3 linked regions of the Oryctolagus cuniculus genome follow. The protein of the gene in region 1 interacts with the protein of each later gene in a biochemical or structural test. Links are inferred from orthologs where the notes say so. Each region holds a gene or a part of one and is shown on either strand. Other genes may lie near its edges. The genes, in order: MAPK8, NR4A1 and STAT3.

Region 1 (7,265 bases):
CACTGCTTAGATATGGCTCATATTCCATCCTTGATCATAAGCTTCTTACGGCTAGTGAACCTCCATTTTCATTTCTTTCACAAAGTCTCTGAGAGCAGCAAGTCTCCTTAGAAAGCATGGTGTTGTAGGATGAACAGAATCTACCATTAAAACAATAACAATCTTGAGCTTATGGTTATGCTTTTCTTTTCTAGTCTGGCTAACTCAACAATGTTCTCTGCTAACAACTAACAGAAGCCTAACTTTCACTGCTGTTCTGGACCCCAGCTTCTTTCTGAAGAAACACCTAATTGGGAACAAACTTCTATTTAAAAAAAAAAAAAAAAAAAGGCATTCCGACAGCCTCAGTTTATAGTTGTAGAACCACCTTGCTTAAGACTCCAAAGTCAGCTAAGTAACAAGTGAACCTAGGTCTGCTCCCAGACCATATTATTTCAATACTCTTGTCAACTTTCAGGTAGTAAAATCTCTTGAATCAGAACTCATTTCTGAAATCAAATTCAAGTTAACCTGCATTAGCGTAAGAATGCAAAGCTTCTAAATATTCAGGTAAAGAGTTCATGACTAAGACAATAAGCATCACAGCTCACTAAAATAGGCAAATGATTCATATCTAAAGTTACACGGTTATAATGACTTCCTTGCATTACATGAATCAGAAAGGCTACTGCCCGTACCAAGGACTTGACCAGAGACCTCGAGAGAGCCGGCATCCTAAAGCCAGACACTATTTCATTCTTCCACACGTGCAACAAAGCATCTCAACCACGCAGATGACTCAAATATGTCAAAACTCAGCGTGATGGCAAAGCCCCAACCGAGGCAGGCGCCTACTCAACAACCTTAATTACCACCAGGATAGTTTGTGACTAGTCATTTAATAACAAATTACTTCAAGTTGTTTCACTAAACACCGTGGATCACCACAGGTCATTTCCGTAATATAAAGTAAGGGTATACTGAAGATTCTAGGTGAATTAATTTTGATACAATTTACTCTTCCTCTGAGTCCTTTTCCAATGTGAAGAGGTATGAAGGACAGTTTCCTGTTCCTCCAGGACACTCAAAGGTGCCCTTTGCAAAGTCATTAAAGGCATGGATTTAGTTAACAGAAGCAGCGCCATCTCTCCCTTTAAAACATTTTTCAAATGCTGAGTGATTGCTAATAGGCATGGGGTTTCTTCCCTGGCTGATGACAATACTCTGGAATTTAAAAGCAGTGATCAATATATAACTTTGTGAACATACTAAAAAAACACTGAAATGGAACACTCTAAAAGGATGAATTTTATGATATGTGAATTAAATGTAAAGAATGCTATTAAAAAAAAATTTAGGGAAAAAAAAGCAGCCACAACTCTAGTTCTTTAAATTGCCTGACCAAAGGGTTTTTATCAGTAAGCCCTACTGGATCCTGACATCTGACTAACTTGGTAAAGCAATTAAAATTTGGTATCTCAAGATTATCATTCCGTATTTTAATAAAGTATCACTTTATTATTTCTTCATTTCTACTAGACATCAAACAGTAAGTTCACCTCAACTTCTTTCATATCAAAACAAATGTGAAAATGTACTTAGCAGTGAGTGGGAAACAGCTATAACTTGAATAATTAGGTATTATTTTGAGTTTTAGTCCCACATGCGTCATGAAGTGTTAATATAAGGAGTTAAACATTTCCAATTAATGCTTCTAAAATCCTATTAGAAGTTACATATTTCTAATAAAACATTTACACAGTCTATATCCTTTTTTCTAGCTTTTCTACTGAAAGAAGTAGTCAAAAACCTCTCAATACTTACAAGAAGATAAACGCAATCATTTCAGCCTCCTACTAAAATACCACTCTGTGTGTGTGTACACGTACACGACACGCCTTGGCCCCTACAATCCAACTTACTTTATGAATCACCAGAAAACACTTAGACAAGGTTTTATTTTAGGATAGTGGATGGCCTAGAAGTGACGGGGGGTGGGGGGGGATGGGGGGGAATGACACCAAAGTGACTCAAAAGCCCATAACCCATCTCCTATTATATGAAACCGATCGTTTGGCTATGTGGAAGAGAATCGCAGGAACCTTCCGCAAACCATATGAACGTTAATAAAAGTTGTATTGAGCACTTACTATTTCCCCGGCTAGAAAAAGAGAAACAGATGGAAGACAGGCCTGCTCTCCAGGAAGTCCCAGGCTTTAGTCAGACTCAGCACCACAGCCTCGGACCTCCTGGGTTTCACGTTAACCGCGGCGGCCGGGTCTGAGGTAGCCATCCCAAATGACCACAGGGCTCGAAGACTGGGCAAAAAAAATAAAAAATTTTTTGAAAGTAAAAACTATTGTGGATTTAGATCAAAGATAACTATCTCCTCGTATAACATTTTACTTGAACTTCCAGAGATTCTGTTAAAAACTAGTAAAATGACCCAGCGCACAACTCTACCTCCACACACGCATCGCTTATATAACCATCTCATTTAAAGGCACATCTGCTACACTGCAACCAAGGCTTCCTCCTCCACTGAGGGCCGTCTTCCCTTTACATGCAAACCTCTCCCCTGTGGGCGCAGTAGGGAGCAGCTGCCGAATGAATGAATGAATGAATGAATGGAACACACGCGCGCGCGCACACACACACACACACACACACACGGATGTTCTCGCTTCAAGCAGGCACTGGATGCTTAGCTGACAGACCAGAATTCCACCGGAAAGACCACCGCATCTACAAACAGCGACCACCGGACATTGTCTCCTACCGCGCGGTCAACACGGCGATCCACGCACAGTACAGACGCGAGGGGGAACTTGAAGACGCCACAGTGTCCAAGGCGGCCTCGCTTCCACCACCCGCCGGGGGTCGGGAACGCCAGCGCAGACAAAGCGACGGCACGGTGGGGAGAAGCAGCCCAGAGGTCACCACCGAAGTGACCCGCAGCGGGGACACGCGCGCTGGCCACGCAGGCTCGGGGCCGGGATCGAGGGGCACCCTCCACGCACGGGCCGCGGGGCCTGGCCTCCCCCAGGCCGCCTTCGACTAGGAAGCCCGCGCACAAAGGAACCTCGCCGAGCGACACGCGCACACACACACGGTCCCCGTGGGCGCCGGGGCGGGCGCGCGGACCCTGTCGCCAGCGCGCCGGCCCCCGGCGCCGGGGAGTCGGCTGCGCGCCGCGGGCCGCCCGGGCCCCCTTCGCCCAAGTGCTTCCCAAGTTGCCGCCCACCCCCATCTTCTCCTCCCGACGCGCAAGCGGGACCCCCGCGAGGAGGGCGTGCAACGACAGCGACGCGCGCGCGCGGGCCGGGCCGGGCCGGGCCGGGCCGAGCCGACCCGGGGCGCCGAGCCGGGGCGCGCGTCCGGCGCCCGCGGCCCCACGCCCCCCGCGGCCGCCCCCGCCTCCGGGGCCGCTATTGTTCCCGCGCCGCCCCCGCCCGCCGCGCGCGCCCGCCCCCACGCCCGGGGAGGGGTTCACGGCTGAGGAGAAGGCGGCGGCGGCCGCACAATAACATAAACACGGCGGGGCCGCCGGCAGCCGCGGCGCCCGCCACACTCACCCGGCAGCGCGGCGAACAGCGACGGGGAAGCCCGCCGGCGGGCACGGGCGCCGTCCGGGCGGTCGCCGCGGCCGTTACCCAGCGCAGCTCGCGGCTCCGCGCTCCAGGCTGCGTCGTCCGGCCTCGGCCGCTCCGCTGAGTAACAGGGACGCGCGGGCCGTCACCGCGCACGCCCGCCCACGTCATCGCGCAGAGCCCCGCCCCCCGCGCCTCCGAGCGGCCCGCGGGGCGGGGCGCCCCGGGGCCCGGATTGCGGGGGCGGGGCCGCGGCCCGGGGGCGGGGCTACCCGCCGCGGAGGTCGCCAGGAGGAGGAGCCCCCGGAGCGCCGCCCGACAGCCGCGTGCGAGGGGCGTGGCCGCGGGCCGGTGCGGGCGGGGTCCCGGTGGCGGCACGTGGCGGCGCGTGGCCCGGGCGGGTGGCGGCTGCCCCGCGGCGGTCCGCTGATGCGCGCCTGCACCTGCAGGGCTCCTCGCCCCGGGCGTGGAAGGTCATACCAACCCGGCGAGCAGGTGCACCCACTTGGGCGCACACCTGGGAGACCGGAGCCGGTTACCGTGACCGACTGGACTCTGCATACTGAGGACACCCGCCTGGGGCCCGGCGTCCGGAGGCAAATCCAAGGCCTTTATTAGCCTCCTGTTTGTTTTCTGAAAACGCACCTAGTCCGGATTCCTTGCATTGCCGGGTTTACAGCTGAAGCTCCTCAGAGAAATTGACAGGTCCTTAAAGACCCAACAACAGGAGGAAGGCACCTGCGTTACTGTCAGGCGTGCTATAGAGCACGTTTTAGGAATGTGTTCGAGGAAGTGTTACCAAATTGGGAAAGACAAAGAAGCAACAAGGACACCCACATACACGGAGTGATCCGTGTCAGTACTGCCTAGTACCTAGGGGGAAAAAACTGGAAAGAAATGTGCCAGGGGCCGGCGCGGTGGCTTAGGCGGTAAAGCTGCTGCCTGCGATGCGGGCATCCCATATGAGCTCCTGTCCGAGTCCTGGCTGCTCCACTTCGCATCCAGCTCCCTGCTAATGGCCTGGGAAAGCAGCAGAGGATGGCCCAAGTGCTTGGGCCCCTGCATGCACATGGGAGACCCAGAAGAAGCTCCGGATCCCTAGGTCCGGACTGGCACAGCTCCACCTCCAGCCATTGCGACCATCTGGGGAGTGAACCAGCAGATGGATCTCTCTCTCTCTCCCTGTAACTCTGCCTTTCAAATAAATAAGTAAATTTTTTAAAAAGAGAAATGTGCCAGATTATTTTAACATCTGTTCATCATTAGACAGAGTGAAGGGTGATTTGGGTCTTTGTTATACTGTGGGTATAACAAACCCCACGCCTAGTACAGCCATACTGGCCCTGCTGAAGGTCTTTCTTTCTGACAGGTTCTGCAGTGGGGGTGGGGGTGGTTGGGGGGAGTGGCATAGTCAGAATGACATCTTTTTTTATTTTTTATTTTTGACAGGCAAAGTTATAGACAGTGAGAGAGACAGAGAGAAAGGTCTTCCTTCCATTGGTTCACTCCCCAAATGGCCGCTACAGCTGGTCTGCGCTGATCCGAAGCCAGGAGCCAGGTGCTTCCTCCTGGTCTCCCCTGTGGGTGCAGGCACCCAAGCACTTGGGCCATCCTCCACTGCCTTCCTGGGCCACAGCAGAGAGCTGGATTGGAAGAGGAGCAACCGGGACTAAAACCCGGTGCCCATATGGGATGCGAGCGTCGCAGGTGGAGGATTAACCAAGTGATCCACAGCTCAGAATGTCCTCAGAATGACATCTTGAAAAGAGTCCTATTAGGGGCCTGTGCTGTGGTGTGCAGGTTAAGCCATAGCCTGCAGCACCAGCATCCCATATGGACACCAGTTCAAGTCTCGGTTGTTCCACTTCTGATCCAGCTCTCAGCTAATGTACCTGGGAAAGCAGTGGAAGATGGCCCAAGTGCTTGGGCCCCTGCACCCATATGGGAGACCTAGATGACGCCTCTGACTCTTGTCTCCTGGCTTCAGCCTGGCCCAACCCCAGCTGTTGCAGCCATTTGGGGAATGAACCAGTGGATAGAAGCTCTATCTTTCTCACTTCATCTCTCCTTCTCTCGCTGTAACGAAAAGAAAGGTCCTATTGGAAGGAAGTCACTTGATTGTAGGAGTGACTTAGATAGCAAAAGGTGGAGACCCAGTCTAGGCTTGTTGTCATGGAAACAGTAAGTAGAAGGACCGGAGGACTGTTGGAACATCCAGTGTGCACAGCTTGCACGTTTTGCAAGTGGTGGGTGAGAGGGGATCATCTTGGGACTCTCGTAGGCTTCTGGCCTGTGGCCAAGGATAGAAGCTGGTGCTGATCCTGCAATGTGGGACTCTTGGAGCAGGCCCAGTGCGGCGGGGGGAAGATCATGAGAGCAGATTCGCTGGTGGTCTGACCACTATTGATATGCCCGAAAGAATTGCCTAGTTGGCAGTTGTACTGACACGGCTGGGGCTTGCTAGGTAAGAGATGAATCACTGACCAAAGGAGTGACCTAAAGCCTAGGGTGTGGACGAGTGAGCCTAGGCCATGGAGAGACAGTGTAGTGTAGTGTGTGAGAAGAGGGCCTAGAGCCAGGCACTGAGCAGCCGTGATAAGGAAGATGAGCCTGTTACAGAACTACCAGGGACATAGAAGAAAAACAGCGAGAGAAAGGGGTGACCAATAATATCAACATGAGGGGTGAGATAAGTTGTGAGCAACCAGGACTCCAACCCCCACCCCCATATGAGAGGGGTTGGAGTTCTGGTTGCTCCACTTGCAATCCAGTTGCCTGCTAATGCTCCTGGGAAAACAGTGGAGGATGGACCAAGTGCTTGGGCCCCTGCCACCCACATGGGAGACCAGCATGGAGATCCAGACTCCTGGCTTTGGTTTATCCCAGCCCTGACTGTTGCAGTCATTTGGGAGTGAACCAAAAAAGGGAAGATTCTCTCTCTCTCTCTCTCTTTCTCCCTCTCTCTCTCCCTTCTAAATAAATTAATAAATCTTTAAAAAAAAAAAACCCACACTGTGCCCCCACAAATATGCACAATGGTCTTGTGATAATTTTTTTAACCTTTAAAGATAATTCGGTGGGAAGTTTCAACAGCTCCTTAGCTCTGTTCCTAAAGCAGATTCCCAGATGACAGCTTCACTTCTGAGGGTAGGTTTATTGCCCCTCTTGCTAAAACCCTGCAGGTTGGCACAGCTGGTCAGCCTGCCCAGTTCAGGGCTTATTATAGGAAGGGGAGGCAAGTGGGAAAGAGTTGCGTTTCAGGACTTGGGAAATAAGAGAGGGAAGAGCTATGACCCTTGTGGGTGTGGCCCTCTGAATCCCGGGACAGCTACACAGGGATGCAGCTCACATTCTAACTGATGCTGGAACGATGGGTAACTGAAGGTGCACAGGGGAGAAGCTCCTTTCCGGGCAGGCTAAGCCACAAAACCTAGGTAAAGTCTCAAATCCAGAGCCCAGTCCACCCTCCCACGGCCTCCTGCAGTAATCTATTTTCTGGAGAAGCCGAAGTGTGATTGGCAGTTGTCTGCCTGTGCAGAGCGGAGCGTAGGACTTGTCTTGGGCATCGGGGGGCATGACGAGGATATCATCAACACCGATTCTCAGAGACAGAGCCGTGCTGTGAGTTTCTTCTCTGTGTCCTCAGGCAATTGAGCTGGGTCTTCCAAGCAAGGCTGTGCCATCGTGGAGATGGAG
Region 2 (7,298 bases), on another chromosome or scaffold:
CCTGGGCGGCAGGGGCCCAACCACTTGAGTATCATCCGTTGCCTCCCAGGAGTCATAAGCAAGAGCAGCCAGAGGTTGAACCAGCACTCCAAGAGAGGATGCAGGTCTCCTCCCATGACAGCTGCCCCGCTTTTAATGCATTTAAATTTTATTTATTTATTTATTTATTTATTTATTTATTTATTTTGCTTTATTTGAAAGACAGTGAGAAAGACAGAGACAGAAAGAGATCCTTCATCTACTGGTTCCCTCCCCAAATGCCAGAAACAACTAGGGCTGGGTCAGGCCAAAGCCAAAGTCTGGGACTTATTCCAGGTCTCCAACATGGAGGGCAGGGACCTAGGTATCCCAGATATCACCTCTTCCCTCTTAGGGTACACACCAGCGGGAAGCTGGATCTGAAACAAAGGAATCAGGATTCAATCAGACACCCCAGTGTGGGATGTGGGCACCCCACGTGGCACCCTAAACATTGCATCAATTCCAAGTGCTCTTATAATGTATATTTATTGGGAAAACAGGAGAGAGAGAGTGAGAGAGAGCGAGCGAAAGAGAGTAAGAGAGAGTGAAAGAGAGAGAGAGGAATCACTGGTTTACTCTCCCAAAAAGCTTGCAACAGCAAGAAACTACAGTTCAATGCATGTCTTTGCAAATAAAAATTAAGCATCACAGATGTAAAAAGATAATGCAATGCAGGGTATCAGTGAGATATTTCACAGGCAGAAAGCGCAGAGCCAGCTGAGTCTCCCACATGAGTGGCAGGGGCCCAAGTACTTGGGGCCGTTATCAGCTGCCTTCCCCCGGGGCATGTTAGCAGGGAGCTGTATGGGAAGTGGAGCCTGCTGGGGACTTGAACCAGCGCTCTGATATGGGGTGCCAGCATCGCAGCTGGTGCCCTAACCTGCCACACCACAGAGCCTGGCCCGTTAGAAGAGCAGCATAAAAGGGAGGGGACTAAAGGAGGTGAGGCCAGAGCCGGGATGGGGCCAAATCCTGCAGGGCCTGGAGCCCAGCACTGTGCTGCCTGCTTCCTCTCTTCAGGTGAGTGCTATTTTAGTATTGAGGAACCAGGACATCAAGGAGCAGATCCAGGGGCCCCGGCCCGGAAGCAGCAGCGTGTAGCTCTGCATGCAAAACAGGGTGGCCTCAGAGGCTGGCCCCCGCCATGTTGTCGCATGCTCCGTGCTCTGATGGGCCCCAGTGCTGGAAGACGGGAAAGAGACAGAGAGGATGGAGAAAGAAAGGGTCCTCCTTGCCCCTGCAAGCCTGGGCTGGGATGAGGGAGAGGTGTGTGAGCAGTGTTTCCGGGGGTGTGCGCCGGGCGGCAGGCGGCCGGGCCAGCCTGGGATTAGCTGGATCTTGTGTGCAGTCGCCGTTGCCAGGAGACACGGCTGCTCCTGCTTTCACCAGCAAGCCAGCTCCGGTTACTGGCGAAAAACCCCCTGGGGGGGGGGGGAGACAGGGAGGCAGGCAGGAGGCAGGCACCGGGGAGGCCACGCCACGCCCCCCCCCGCTCCCCCACAGGTGTGGCCCGTGCTGTGCCCATCTCTGGTGTGGCTTTGGGGGCCGTCTCCCCTGTGGCTTGGACCCACCCACAGCTCAGGAGAGGGGTGCAGAGGCAGAGGCCGCACCTGGGCATGGGCAGGGCACGTCGGGGGTGGGGGAGGGGCGCTGCTGCAGGAGTTCAGAGGGAGTCTGGGCCGCGTGTGTGAGCACCAAGGAGAGCAGAGAGGTGTGCATGTGTGCGCGTGTGTGCACGTGTGCATGAATGTGTATGCATGTGTGTGAGTGTGTGTATTTACAAGAGTCAGGAGCTTCTTCCGGGTCTCCCACATGGGTATGGGGACCCAAGGACTTGGGCCATCTTCCTCTGCTGCTCTCCCAGGTACATTAGTAGGGAAATGGATCAGAAGTGGAGCAGCCGGGACTTGAACTGGCGCCCATATGAGATGCCGGCGCTGCAGGCTATGGCTTAACCTGCTGCACTACAGCACCAGCCAATTAGGGGATGTAACACCTAGTAATTTATAAAGCATTACTATTTTCTTGGGGAAGGTTTTTACTGTTATTTGAGGGGCATGTACCAGACCTAGCAGTTCAGCCACCTCCCACACCAGAGTGCCTGGGTTCGAGGGCCAGCTCCCGACTCCAGGGCAGACCCGGAGAGGCGGCGGTAGTGGCGCCAGTGGTCGAGTTCCCGCCCCCATGTGGGAGACCTGGATGACATCCCGTCTCCTGGCTGCAGCCCTGCCCAGCCCCGGCTATTACAGACTTTTGGGGGAAATGACCAAATAGGCCGTCTGCTTCTTTCACGTAAGTAACAAATAAGTAATTCAAAAAATTAAATAAAGGAGACAGAGCTCCTATCTGATGATTCATGCCCAGAATGGCCAGGGCTGGGCCAAAACTGGGAGCTGGGAACTAAATCCAGGTCTCCCACGTGATCTCTAGTCATCACTGCCTCCTCCCAGGCTCTGCATTGGCAGGAAGCTGGAGCCAGGCCTTGAACCAGACACTAGGATGGGGCCCGTGGGCGTCTTAACCGGCATCCTAATAGCTGGGTTAAACGCTGGCCTGATCTGTTCAGCAGCAGGTGTCAACAGGTGCACGATCCGGGTGGCCCCATAGGTCTGAGCACATGAGCGCAGCCCCCGGAGGCGCACCGTCCCACTCCCCACGTGGTCTGTGAGAGTCTAGCCCAGGCCACTCAGGACCTCGGGGTTGGTGTGTCTGGTGCTGTCCTCTGCGGTGGGCATCAGGGTGTGCGGGCGCCCCCTTGTGTCCACGACCATAAGTGCAGGGACAGAGCGGACTGGAATGGGAGGCATGGGAATGCGGCTGGCGTGCACTCCCCTCCCACCTGCAATTCCTCAGGCTCAGGACTCCGAGGTGCTAGGGGAGCCCCCAACTCCCCCGGCGCCGGCTGCAGAGACCCAGCGGTGGGCGCGGCGTGGCTGTGCGCGGGGCGGTCCCTCAGCACCCACACCATAAATGTCCAGACACAGAGGCACTTTGGGACGGTCCTCTGCAAGCCAGGCAGGACTGCCCTCCCGGGAAGGGCTGGGTAACCCGAGCTGCCGATGGGCCCTCAGGTCACCTCGGGAGCACAGGGCTGTCAGCTGACGGCCCAGAACCATTCATCATGCCCCCAGCCCAGCCCGGCCAGCCCTGGTATGGAGCAGCTTATGTAAAAGCTGGCAGCCAGGAGCTGAGTGGTGGGTACTTGGAGCAAGGGCAGGCATGCTCCAGTCTCCTCCGTGGAGGGCCAGCCCCTCAGAGTGCATGCTGCCCCGTGGACGTGGGTGGACGGAGCCCAAGATTCTGGGTGGAATCACCATCAACAGGCGTGGGGGTGACAGCCACCAGCACACCTCCGCCATGGCCTGGCTTCTCCCTCCTGTGAGCCAAGCCCGTGGAGCAAACTCCTCCAGCTGCCCTGGCCTCTGTTCTCTGTCCCCGTGCACCACTAGAAGAGGAGGCGTTGTGTCCACTGTTGCACCTGTGCCCACCGCTGCGGCCACCTCTGTGGGCGCTGGGAGGCTCAGCCTGGTGGTGACACTGGGCTAAGATGCACCTGCTCTTGGGTGGCTTCACATGGTCTTTTAGGTGTGCTGGGCCTGATGATAACTCCTAGCTGTCTTCATCCCAGCCCGGCGCGTGGCCTGGGGCCAGTTCTTTAGGCCCTTGTGCCTCAGTTTCCCCATGTGCGGGACAGGGACAGAGATGCCACCTACAGCCCTGAGCTACCGTGAGGAGCAGCTGCGTGCCTGGCCGAGGCGCTCAGGCAGTTCCTGGCGCGAGAGCAACGCCGGTATAAGTGTTGGCTATAATTAGACAATGTCTGGAGGCGCTGTCCTCAGCTCTGGCTCCTAATAAGCTCCTGGTGAAAAGTGGTTGCTATTTTTAACCTCCGTCTCCTTCGCCGTCTTAATCCCCTTCATAAACTCACCTCCGGGGCAGCCTCGAGACTCCTCTAAGTCGCCTCTAATTGGCCCTCTGGTTGCCAGTCTGCTGCCACGACCGGTTACAGACGCACAGCAGTCACATCGGCCAGGTGTCTACCTTCGCAGAACGTCTTGTGCGCCCGGGACAGGCTGTGATGGCTCCATCAGCTGCTGAGCGCTGTGTCCCAGCCACCAGTCCGGGCATTCTGGCCTGCGGCACACAGCGCGCCGGCCCATGCAGCCAGAGCATGCCAGCTCCGCCTGCCAGGGCAGATTAGCGCGGGGGGCCCTCCCGCTTCCGGTCACAGCGGTGGGAGCGCCGAGGCCTTCGGGCTTCGCTGAGACACCTGCACTCCGGAGCGCTGGGCGGTGGCGCCCTCCACCGGGCACAAGTGGCACTGCCGCCCCTTGGAAGGGAGCAAGGCTGTCGGACGGACGTGCACGCCCGAGCGTAAGCAGAGCGGACCGTGCGCCAGGTTGCAGGAACCGAAGGGGTGAATAAAGAACCTCGGAGAGCCTCCACTTTTCTTGCACGTGCCTTCTAGTGGAGGGGTGACGTCGTGCAATGAGAGCTGATTATACAGGGGCCCGCAGCAGGGTGCGTTTCTGCAAGAGCGGGCACCCGGGTGAGGCCAGGGAAAGCAAAGCGCCTTTACCCCGAGGCAAGCGCATCGGTACAGGGCTGAGCGGGAAGATGCTGAGGTGAGGAATTCTGCGGACGCTGGTCACGTGCAATGCTGGACAGGGGGCAAGGTCCGACCCCCTGTTTGTCATCACAGCAGCAGCGGCAGCAGAAGCACCCCCTGCCAGCTCCCAGCGTCCCGGGGCTGGCGGGCGGGACCGGGCTAACCTGAGGGAGAGGCCCTGACTCCTGGCAGACAGTGGGGCCGGCACCGACATCCCTACATTTCCAGGAGGGAAAGCCGGACGCGCCAGTCCCAAGCCTTCCCGCCAGGGGGCGACGCCGCCCCGCAGCTCCGCGAACCAGCGCGGCCGGAGCGTGGCCGCCGCGGGCACCTAGGGGCGGAGCTTGCAGGGCCACGGGTCCCGCCTGGGCGCGCGCCGGGGGAAGGCCCCCGCGTGGGCGGCGGCAGGGGCTGCACCTGGTCTCCGGGATTTCCTAAGGCGACGCGATCAGCTGCCCCAAGAAGCGGTTGCTCACTCGGGCGCTGCCACCTGCTTCCCGCCTGGTCTCCGCCCCCACCGCGGGTCGCAGCGGCTGCGAACCACCCTCCCCCCCTACCGGGGGCCGAATCTGCCTTGGCGTCCCAGCCCTAAGCACCTCTCAGGGCGGGCGAGCGTGGGCACTGATATGCTGCGCGCCTCCCTCACCCGGCTTCAGCCTAGTCCACAACCCGGTCTAGTGGGCAGCCGGCTCCAACCCCCGCCGCCACCCCCCTCCCCGCCTGGTCCAACTCCTGGTGTAGACTTGAACCCCCAAGAGCCGCCGCCAGTGGGGAAGCCCTCCGTTGCCCTCTGTCGCTGAGCCGGTCAGCAGGTCCCGGGTGCTGGGACACGGATGTGGCCATTGGGATCCAATATCCATCCAGAAACTCTTAGGAGGTACCTCGGGCACTCCTAAAATAGCAACGCCCCAGCCCACGCCAGTACTCCTGGGTCAAAATCCATCTATCTATTTACCTACCTACCTACCTACCTACCTATCTGGAACGCAGTGCTACAGAGAGAGATCCTCCATCTGCTGGTTCACTCCCCAAACAGCCCCAATGGCCGGGCATAAGCCAGGAGCTGGGGCCTCCATCTGAATCTCCCACATGGGTGCAGGGGCCCAGGGACTTGGGCCATCCTCTGCTGCTTTCCCAGGCATATTAGCAGGGAGCTGGTTGGGAAGTGGAGCAGCCGGGACTCGAACCGGTGCTAGAACAAAATCTGAAGTGCGGGGGTGGGGTGTCTGCACTGTTAAATGTCCCCCGAAGCCATTTGCTGCTGCAACAGGTAACCAACTTCTGGGCTTGCCTTCACTCACCCAGAAAGGGGGAGGGGGGGCTGGGCGTGCGGGAGGCCCAGTCTGACTGCAGACCGAGCAGTGGGCAGAGAGAGCCCCAGGCACTTGCGCAACTGTTACCTTGTTGCGTGATTTGTACATTGCCTCCGGAAAGGCCCAACTCCAGGAAGGGAAGTCACTGAGATTTGGGAGGTTTTCCTTGACATCAAAATTTTTGATTTCCGTTTGGCCAACGCGCTTCCTGCCCGGGCCCCGCTGGCATGCCCCGCGCAGAGGTTTGCGGGGCCCAGAGCGCAGAAGTCCCAGGTTCCCTCTGGTTCACGGGGCACACCTGCCGTCAGTTGGTGCTGTTTGCCCCATCGGCCACCCAGTCAGCCCCGTCAGTGGCATCCCACCGCCAGGCATGGGTCGCAGAGGTGCATAGGGGAGGGTTCAATGGCCTGGGAGCCCCCCAGTGGGGACCCCTGCGGCGGGAGGGGCTTAAATAAAGGGTTGTGGGTTCAGGGGGGGCTCCGCCCTGGCAGAAGCCCCTGCACCGTGGATGGGTAGCAGCGTTTCGAGGTCACCACTAGGGGTCAGCGCAGCGCTCTCCCCCCGGGCTGGCGCCCTGAGGTCCCACCTGGACCTGCGGCCAGCCCGCGCTCCTGTCCACTCCCTTCCCCTGACGACCCTGTCCTCGGCTTTCCAAGCGGGACCCAGCAGCCTCCGCACCGCACGGCGGCCTGACGTCTCGCCTGCCCCTGGGCAATCCCACAGTCTCCCTCAGGGCTGACCGCGGGCAGGGAGGGCCACCGCCATTGCTCAATCTCGCGCTCCAGGGAAGGTGGGAGTATTCATAGAACCCCCCCTTCCATCGGGTTTCCTCTCGGCACCATCCTTGAGCCCCGTTTGTGGACCCTAGCACCAAGTCCCAAGAGTCTCACCCACTCCCCCACTCTGCTGGGCGTGTCCTCCCCTCACTCGGGGGTAGCATCCACACCTGTGGAACCCTGGTGGTCTACTATTGGCTCCCCATCACTGTGTTCCTGTCCTCACACCCCCCCCCCCCACGAAGCATTCTCCCTCTGCCTGCTCTGGGCTACAGGGAACAACTAGGAGAGAGAAGCCTGGCTCCCAAAGGGACCAGCTGAGAACCTCTCCAATCCTCAGTTTCTTTATCTGTAAAATGGGCACAAGGATGCTCCCTGTGAGACCCAAGCGAGGCGATGGATGTGGAAGTGCTTAGCACAGTGTGGGGTACACAGGAGCTGTTCTGGGCGATAGTCTGACCATCCCTCCCCCCTCCCTCCCCCACCGTGTCCCATGTCTCGTCTCAGTACACCAGCTGCCTCAGCGTGCCCCACTGCCTATGCCCCAGAGCATACAGGGACACGATGCCACCATGCAGG
Region 3 (7,315 bases), on another chromosome or scaffold:
ACTCCCCCTCCCGTCTACACCGCCGCAGCTCCGGAAACCGCTGAATTACAGCCCCTTCAACCAATCCCCGCCCAGCCCCAGTCTCGCCAAGGCACGCCTTTATACATAATTCATGAGACAGCCAGCTTGCTAGACCACCCAGAGGCCGCAGTGCGAGGGCTGTACCGTCGAAGCCCCACCCATTGACCAATGAGGTAAGTCTCCAGGAGAAAGGGCGGAGTCAAGGGGAGGCTGGGGACGCCCCTGTGCTGGCTGTTCCGAGCTTTAGTGCTCCTCCCTCCGCGGCACCAACGGAAGAGACGCGGCCTTGGGCACAGAAGTCCGGAGGGAGGGGGGAAAATGAACGGAATGTCCTGCTGAAAACTCAGCTGAGTTCCTGGCAGTGCGTGACGTCAAGACACTTTAAATGCCCCTGATACGGCTCCCTCCTGCCCGCTCTCCCTTTTCCCGGCCCTTGGCACCACGTGGGGGCGAGACTGAGAGGTTCTTACCACGTGGGAATCAGCCAGTTAGACGGTCCCCGGGTATCGCCAGATCTGCCAGGCGCCCTCCTCTTGGACTGGGTTTCTGGGGCCGACAAGACGAACATGGGCGACCCTTGCCTGCTTTGAACCCCAGCTTCTGCGTGAGTTGGGACACACACACCCGGAAACATGACGTGGAAATAGAGTAATTACTAGATTGCGTGGGAGACGGCGGTGGATTTAACCCCGTCTTGGGTTCTGTGCCTTCAGCCGCTAGTGCGCGGGCCGGTACACACACGTGCGGACTGTAGGTGAAGATGACCCCTTGCTGACATTTCTGTGCCGAAATGCTCCCCGTTGTCTGCCCTATTTTTTTTCCACCTTGTCTATGCAGGTATTACTGAACTGAAGCCGGTCGTTCATAGGAAATGTACACACTTTGCCTTTCGTAATAGGGTGAATTTTGCATAATAGAGTGTTGTGTGTGTGCTCCATTCTATCCGGGTTCTTTTTTTTTTTTTTTTTTTTTTAGCAAAAACAAAAATCGTTTAACACAACGAGATAAGATAAAATATAAAAAGGGCCCATTATCTCAACCACCCACGTAACTTCTAATAACACTTTTCTCAGTGAAACTAATCCATGTTCATGGTTTAAAAATTCAAACAATTCAGAAAAATTTTAAGAGACTTATTTGAAAGTTACAGAGAGAGAGCAGAGCAAGATCTTCCATCCCCTGGTTCACTCCCCAAATGGCCACAACCACTGGAGCTGGATGGATCTGAAATCAGGAACCATGAGCTTCTTCCAAGTCTCTCACTTGAATACAAGGACCCAAGCCCTGGGGCCAGCTTCCACTGCTTTCCCAGGAGCATTAGCAAGGAGCTGGATCAGAAGTGGAGAAGCTGAGACTCAAACCAGTTCCCATTCGGGATGCCGGCACTGAAGGCAGCAGGTTTACCGGCAATGCCTCAGGACTGGCCCCTCAAAATATTTATTTTAAAACAAGATTTATTGAAGTCAGAAACCTCCGGATGCAGCAGCCAAGAGGGGGGCTCCAAGAGAGGCAGACCCCCCTCCCAGAAATTTTTAAATGAAAAATCTCCCCCTCCTGCCTCATTCAGTCTTCCCCAAGGATAGCTGTTCTTAATTTTTGGTGAGAAAAAAAATCAGTGTCTCTTAACCTTTGAAGGGGAGTGGATCTCAGAGTTTGGTGGAGAATACGGATTCCAGCCCCAGAAATACTCAGCAATTCACATGGTTCCCCCAAGACTCCAGGTTCAGACTTCTGGTGCGCCCTTAAATCCAAGTGAGAGGTGAGGGAACCCATAAGGCAACCGTCAGTGTCGGGGTGCTGGGACAGCTGTCTCGGGGTGTCCTGTAGATCCCGGAAGTGTGGGATTGCCTGTTTGTAAACAGAGTGCATGTACGGGTCATGGATCACTCTTTATCTTCACCATGGCCACCTCCCCTAAAGTCCATCCCAGCTGTGTGGCCCCTTGCAGTTCACGGCCTCCCTGGTGGCAGAGGGTCTGATATTTGCTCAGTGATTTACTGCTTGGAAGGTGCTCACACACTCTCCTCTCCTTTCTCACAACAGGTCACCTTCATCGCTGACAACGAGGGCCCAATCCCAGCGATACCCGGAGGTGCACCAGGTGGGTCAGAGCCACAGCTTTGTTCCATCCTGGTAAGCTGTGACCCCTGACCCCTCAGGAGCGTTCACTCCCCTCACTGCCCTCGCCACCGTTCTCCCCTGAAATCTACCTCTGAGCCTGCCTGATAAAGGGACAAAAACCCTCTGCAGCCTCCGACTGACCCCAATCCCCACCGGCTGAACGCTGCAGCTTCTCCCTCTTGAGCCGAAGCCTGGCCGCTTCCCTACTGTCTCCTTACTCCATCCCGATCTCCCCTTGGCTACCAGGAGCATCATCCTAAAAGTTATATGAATAAATACTCAGCCCTGTCGCCATCTGCCTCAAAATCTCTTCTGTTCTCCGTGATCCATAGGGTAAAAATCCAAGTTCCTTCAAAAAAAAGCACCAACCTCCTAACTCAGTGCCAGGCATGCGGCAGGAGCTGGGCTGATGCCCCTTGTCCTCTCGATTCGACTCCTAAATCCTGTATTCTCACCTGAAGCCCTTTGTCCAGGCTCATCCCACACCACCTGAACTCCCGCCCTGCCCTGATCACCTTCCCCAGGGCGTGCCAGCACCACCCGCCACTTCAGCCCCTGTGGGTTTTCTTCCCTCCCACCATGTCTCTTCCATTTCCTCGCTCCCTCGCTGAAAACTCTCTCATTCTTGAAGGCGCGGTTCCAGCATCGCCGCCTCTGGGCTTTCCCGGTGCTCCCAGGCAGTCTGCCTCTCGGCTGCCGTCAGCAGGTGTTTCCCCACCTTGAACTGCAATGTATCCATTTACTAGCCCACTTCCTTATAAATGAAATAATTAACCTTTATTAATCACTATGTTCTAGGAACTGTACTGAGCATTTTACGCAGAGATTGTCATTTGATCAAGGACATAGGCGTTCTAATTCTCATTTTATGACTGTGGAAACTAAGGCTTAGAAAGAAAAGGCCTGGGGCTGGCCTTTGGCCGCACAGTGAACACATGTGCCTCCCATATCAGAATGCCCGCCTTCCACGCTCAGCTGCACTCCTGATTCTAATAACCTGCGAATGCAGGCCCTGGGAGGCAGCAGGTGATGGCTCAAACAGCTGGATCCCTGCCAGCCTTTGGGAGACCTGGGTTGAATAACTTGGCTCCCAGCTTCAGCTGGCCCTGTCCTGGCTATTTCAGGCATTTGGGGGGTAACCAGCAGATGGAAGGTCTCTGTTCCTACCCCATCACTCTGCCTTTCTTTCCTTTTTTTTTTTTTTTTTTTTTTTTTTAAACACTGCAGGGCCAGTGCTGTGGCATAGAAGGTTAAGCCTCCACCTGCAGTGCCGGCATCCACAGGTTTGAGTCCCAGCTGCTCCACTTCTGATCCCGCTCCCTGCTAATGTGCCTGGGAAAGCAGCAGAGGATGGCCCAAGTGCTTGGGCCCCTGCACTCATGTGAGAGACCAGGATGAAGCTCCTGGCTCTCAGTTTCAGCCTGGCCCAGACCTGACTGTTGTAGACACTTGGGGAATGAACTGGTGATGGAAGATCTCTCTCTCTCTCTCTCTCTCCCCCTCCTTCTCTGTATTTCTGCCTTCCAAATAAACAAATTAAAAATTAAAAAAAAGGCGCGGTTGGGGTGGGCTTTAGGGCACTGAAGGTTAAGCTGTGGCTTGCGACACCCACATCCCGTATTGTAGCATCTGGGATCAAGTCCTGCCTCTGCTTCCCATGGAAGCTTCCATGGCTTCTGTGCACCTGAGGAGGCAGCAGGTGGTCACTCAAGCACTTGGGTCTCTGCCACCCACATGAGAGACCCAGATGGAGTTCCAGGTTCCTGACCTTGGCCTGACCCAGCCTCGACTATTGCTGGCATCTGGGGAGTGAACCAGCAGACGGAAGATCGCTCTATGTGTGTGTGTCTTTGTGTTGCTCTGCCTTTCAAATAAACAAAACACAAAAACGTGGCATGGCAGAGAAGGCCTCTGGGCTGATAGGTGGGTGGTGAGGCATGGTGGTGACCAAAGGTGACAACATACAGGCAAGGGGTCCTTCACGGGGCTCAGCAACAGGGCTGCCTGGCTCCTCTCACTGACAGCACCGGGAAGAGCAGGGACTTGCTCCGCAGGCATCCTCTTGCAAGCCTCTCTCTTTCTCCCCAGCTGATCAACAGCCCTCCCTCTTCACTGTTGGCAAGGCTGTGTCATTCCCTACTGCCTAAGCAGCATTCACACCATGCCATTCTGTTCCTCCGGGGCTTCCCAGGGAGCTTAGGGGAAGGGGTTTTCCTTTATCTCATCCCTGCAAGGCCCTCCCTGCTGCCTACTGAATTCCAGCCAGGCCACGTCCCAGCCCTTGGTCTTGGCATGTGCCAGCTCCCTCTCTCCACCTGGCTTTGGCACAGCTACTTCCGCCTCACCACTCCCATCTTACTCAGTCTTCCTCTAACCACTCCTGCCTAGAGTTGGTCCCAACTTGTTCATCACTATCTCTCTGTCCAGTTTCCTGGACTCTTATCACAACTCTCATTTTATTTATCTGTTTACAGAGTTTGTTATCTCCCTCCTTACACTGTTAGTTGCACTGGATCTTGGCTCTTTGGTGATCTCTTGTGCGGAGCACATAATAGCTGCTCAGTAAGTAGTGAATAAGTGGAAGTGTTCTGTGTCCCACTTCTGCCTCTGAGCTTTATCAATTCTCTCCTCCCTCCGTCTCTGAAGACACTTCCTCTTTTCTGTCTTGACCCTAGTATTTCCTCAGTTACCCCTCCACTTCTCATCACTGCCCCCACATCTCTACTTGCTCGCCCTAGGTGGCTTCTGCCAGCCCCTGACCAGAGGACAGTGGTCGTGAAGGCCACCAGGGGCCTCCTCCTGACCAGAGTGGACATGCTCTCGTTTCCCGTAGCTTTGCTGTAGAAGCTGATACTGGGCAGCGTCCTAGCCACTCTCTCCCCTTGGCCATCACCGCAGGCAACAGACGCAGTCACATTCACGTGAAAGCTCCCGGGAACTGAAGTGAGACACCCCAAGTTTGAATCCAGGTTCTGGTCCAGGATCAGCTGTGCAGCCTTGGGAGAGTTCCCTAACCTCTCTGAGCCTTGGCATCCTGATCTAACTAGAGAGCATAATTCCGACTTGGTAATTTTGTATTCAAATGTTCTTGCTTGGAAGATACCCTCAAGGTGACTGCGCAGCCTGGTGGATGAGAGCCAGGTCCTGACTCAGTCTACTTCCCAGCCGCTCTGCCCACTGGGCGGTGTGACCCTAGGCTACTTCCTGAACCTCTCTGGATCTGTTTCCTCATCTATGACATAGGAAGAGGAAAGTACCTACACCATAGGTTGTCATTACCTTTTTTTTTTTTTTTAAGGATTTTTATTTATTTGTTTATGTAAAAGGCAGAGTTACAGAGACAGAGGGGGAGAAACAGAGGATTGAGGGAAGAGAGATTGATCGTCCATCTGCTGGTTCACTCCCCAAATGCCTGCAACAGCTAGAGCTGGGCCAGGAGCCAGGAACTTCCAGGTCTCCCACATGGGTGGTAGGGGCCCAACCACTTGGGCCATCCTCTGCTGCTTTCACAGGCACATTAGCAGGGAGCTGAGTGAGAAATGGAGCAGCTGGGACTGGAACCTTCACTCCTATATGGGAGACCAGCATGGCAGGCAGCAGCTTAACCTGCTGCACCAAAATGCCAGCCCTTGGACAATCATCCTTGATAGAGCAGCCATGCACAGGGCAGGGGTATTGGTCACCCAGCGGAGACAAAGCCTGGAGGGAGGGGGCAGGGACTTTTCTGGGCAGGGGACATCCAATATGTGTCAGGAATTCTCCTAGGTAATGCTGATGAGAGTGCCCTGTGCCCAGCAGGACGCCTGTCTCCTGTGTGACCCCTCCCTCCACAGTCTAGTTTGCTGGTCTCAAACTTCACTCAAAGGGTGCCTTTAATTCCTTTTTTTTTTTTTTTTTAAGATTTATTTATTTGAAAGGCAGAGTTAGGGGGCAGGGACCCGGGGTCAGGGAGAAAGAGAGAGATCTTCCATTTGCTGTTTTGTTCTCCAGATGGCCTCAACAGCTGGAGCTGGGCCAGGCCGAAGTCAGGAGTCAGGAGCTTCTTCTGGGTCTCCCACACGGGTGCATTGGTCCAAATGCTTGGGTCAGCTTCTGCTGCTTTGCCAAGCCTTTAGCAGGGAGCTAGATGGAAGCAGAGCACCCGGGTCTTGAACCGGCGCCTATATGGGATGCTGGCATCGTGGGCCCTAGGATGCCTTAATCCTAGATTCTACCTTCTTCTCTCTCAACTCCCTCCCTTGGCAAACTCATTATTCCTAGCACTTCAACAACACCTTTCTTGTTTTCTTTAAAAAAAAAAAATGTTTTAGAGGTGGAGATAGAGCTCCCTTCTGCTGGTTCACTCCCCAAAGCCCACAGTGGCCAGGACTGGACCAGGGCCAGGCCAGGGCCAAAGTCAGAGGTGGGAACCCAGTGCAGGTCTGCCATGTGGGTAGCAGGGATCCAACGACTTAAGCCATCACTGCTGCCTCCCAGGGTCTGCATTAGCGGGAAGCTGGAATCAGAAGCTGGATCCAAGGACTAAGCCCAGGCACTCCAGTGGGGGATGCAGGCCTCATGTCTCTTAATTACTAGGCCACACGCTGGCCTCCATGACTATCTTCTGATAATTCTTTTATGCTAAGCCTCAGCAGACAGAGGTAAGTTACTTTCTCTGTAGTGTGACACCTTCTGCTTCTTCATCTGGAATCGAGGCCCCTTTAACTCTCCTCTGTGAGCTGCTCCTTAATCAGACTTGCAGCCCCATGCCCCATCTGTCCTGCATCCTGCCTGCTAGCTCACAAGCCCTCCCTTCCCAACAATGCCCTGGTTCCCTTCAGCCACATCTGTAACTGAAGAACCTCTCCTCCTTGCCTTGGATCCACGGTGAACACTGGTGTTAACTGGCTCCAGCAGGTTCTGTGTGCCAGGAATTTGGAATTTGAAATTGACAGGCACAGAGGCCAGCACTCTGGTGAAGCAGCTTAAGCAGCTACCTGCAGTGCCAACCTCCCATATAGGCACTTTTTTTAAAAAATATTTATTTTATTTCTTGGAAAGGCTGAGTTACAGAGAGACAGAGCAAGAAAGATCTTCCATCTGCTCCTTCACTCCCCAGATGGCTGCAACAGGTGGGGCTGGGCCAGGCCCAAGCCAGGAGCATTCTCTGGGTTTCCTACATGGTTGGCAGGGG

What was found.
Region 2: of the proteins of MAPK8 (region 1) and NR4A1, one has a biochemical effect on the other in vitro, tested with the Homo sapiens proteins (2 studies listed by BioGRID). The link is inferred for Oryctolagus cuniculus from reciprocal best matches to the Homo sapiens genes MAPK8 and NR4A1.
Region 3: of the proteins of MAPK8 (region 1) and STAT3, one has a biochemical effect on the other in vitro, tested with the Homo sapiens proteins (2 studies listed by BioGRID). The link is inferred for Oryctolagus cuniculus from reciprocal best matches to the Homo sapiens genes MAPK8 and STAT3.

Annotation. Positions count from the first base shown.
Region 1 is NC_091446.1:81,309,818-81,317,082, reverse strand, and holds the start of MAPK8 (mitogen-activated protein kinase 8), read right to left. Parts: upstream 3,756-7,265; 5' UTR 3,555-3,755; intron 1-3,554. UniProt on the Homo sapiens protein: Serine/threonine-protein kinase involved in various processes such as cell proliferation, differentiation, migration, transformation and programmed cell death.
Region 2 is NC_091442.1:55,340,073-55,347,370, reverse strand, and holds the start of NR4A1 (nuclear receptor subfamily 4immunitygroup A member 1), read right to left. Parts: upstream 4,463-7,298; 5' UTR 3,950-4,462; intron 1-3,949. UniProt on the Homo sapiens protein: Orphan nuclear receptor. Binds the NGFI-B response element (NBRE) 5'-AAAGGTCA-3'. Binds 9-cis-retinoic acid outside of its ligand-binding (NR LBD) domain.
Region 3 is NC_091448.1:20,435,619-20,442,933, reverse strand, and holds the start of STAT3 (signal transducer and activator of transcription 3), read right to left. Parts: upstream 4,171-7,315; 5' UTR 4,126-4,170; intron 3,505-4,125; exon of another isoform or gene 3,370-3,504; intron 2,443-3,369; exon of another isoform or gene 2,272-2,442; intron 2,123-2,271; exon of another isoform or gene 2,065-2,122; intron 1,774-2,064; exon of another isoform or gene 1,657-1,773; intron 638-1,656; exon of another isoform or gene 431-637; intron 90-430; exon of another isoform or gene 41-89; 5' UTR 1-40. UniProt on the Homo sapiens protein: Signal transducer and transcription activator that mediates cellular responses to interleukins, KITLG/SCF, LEP and other growth factors. Once activated, recruits coactivators, such as NCOA1 or MED1, to the promoter region of the target gene.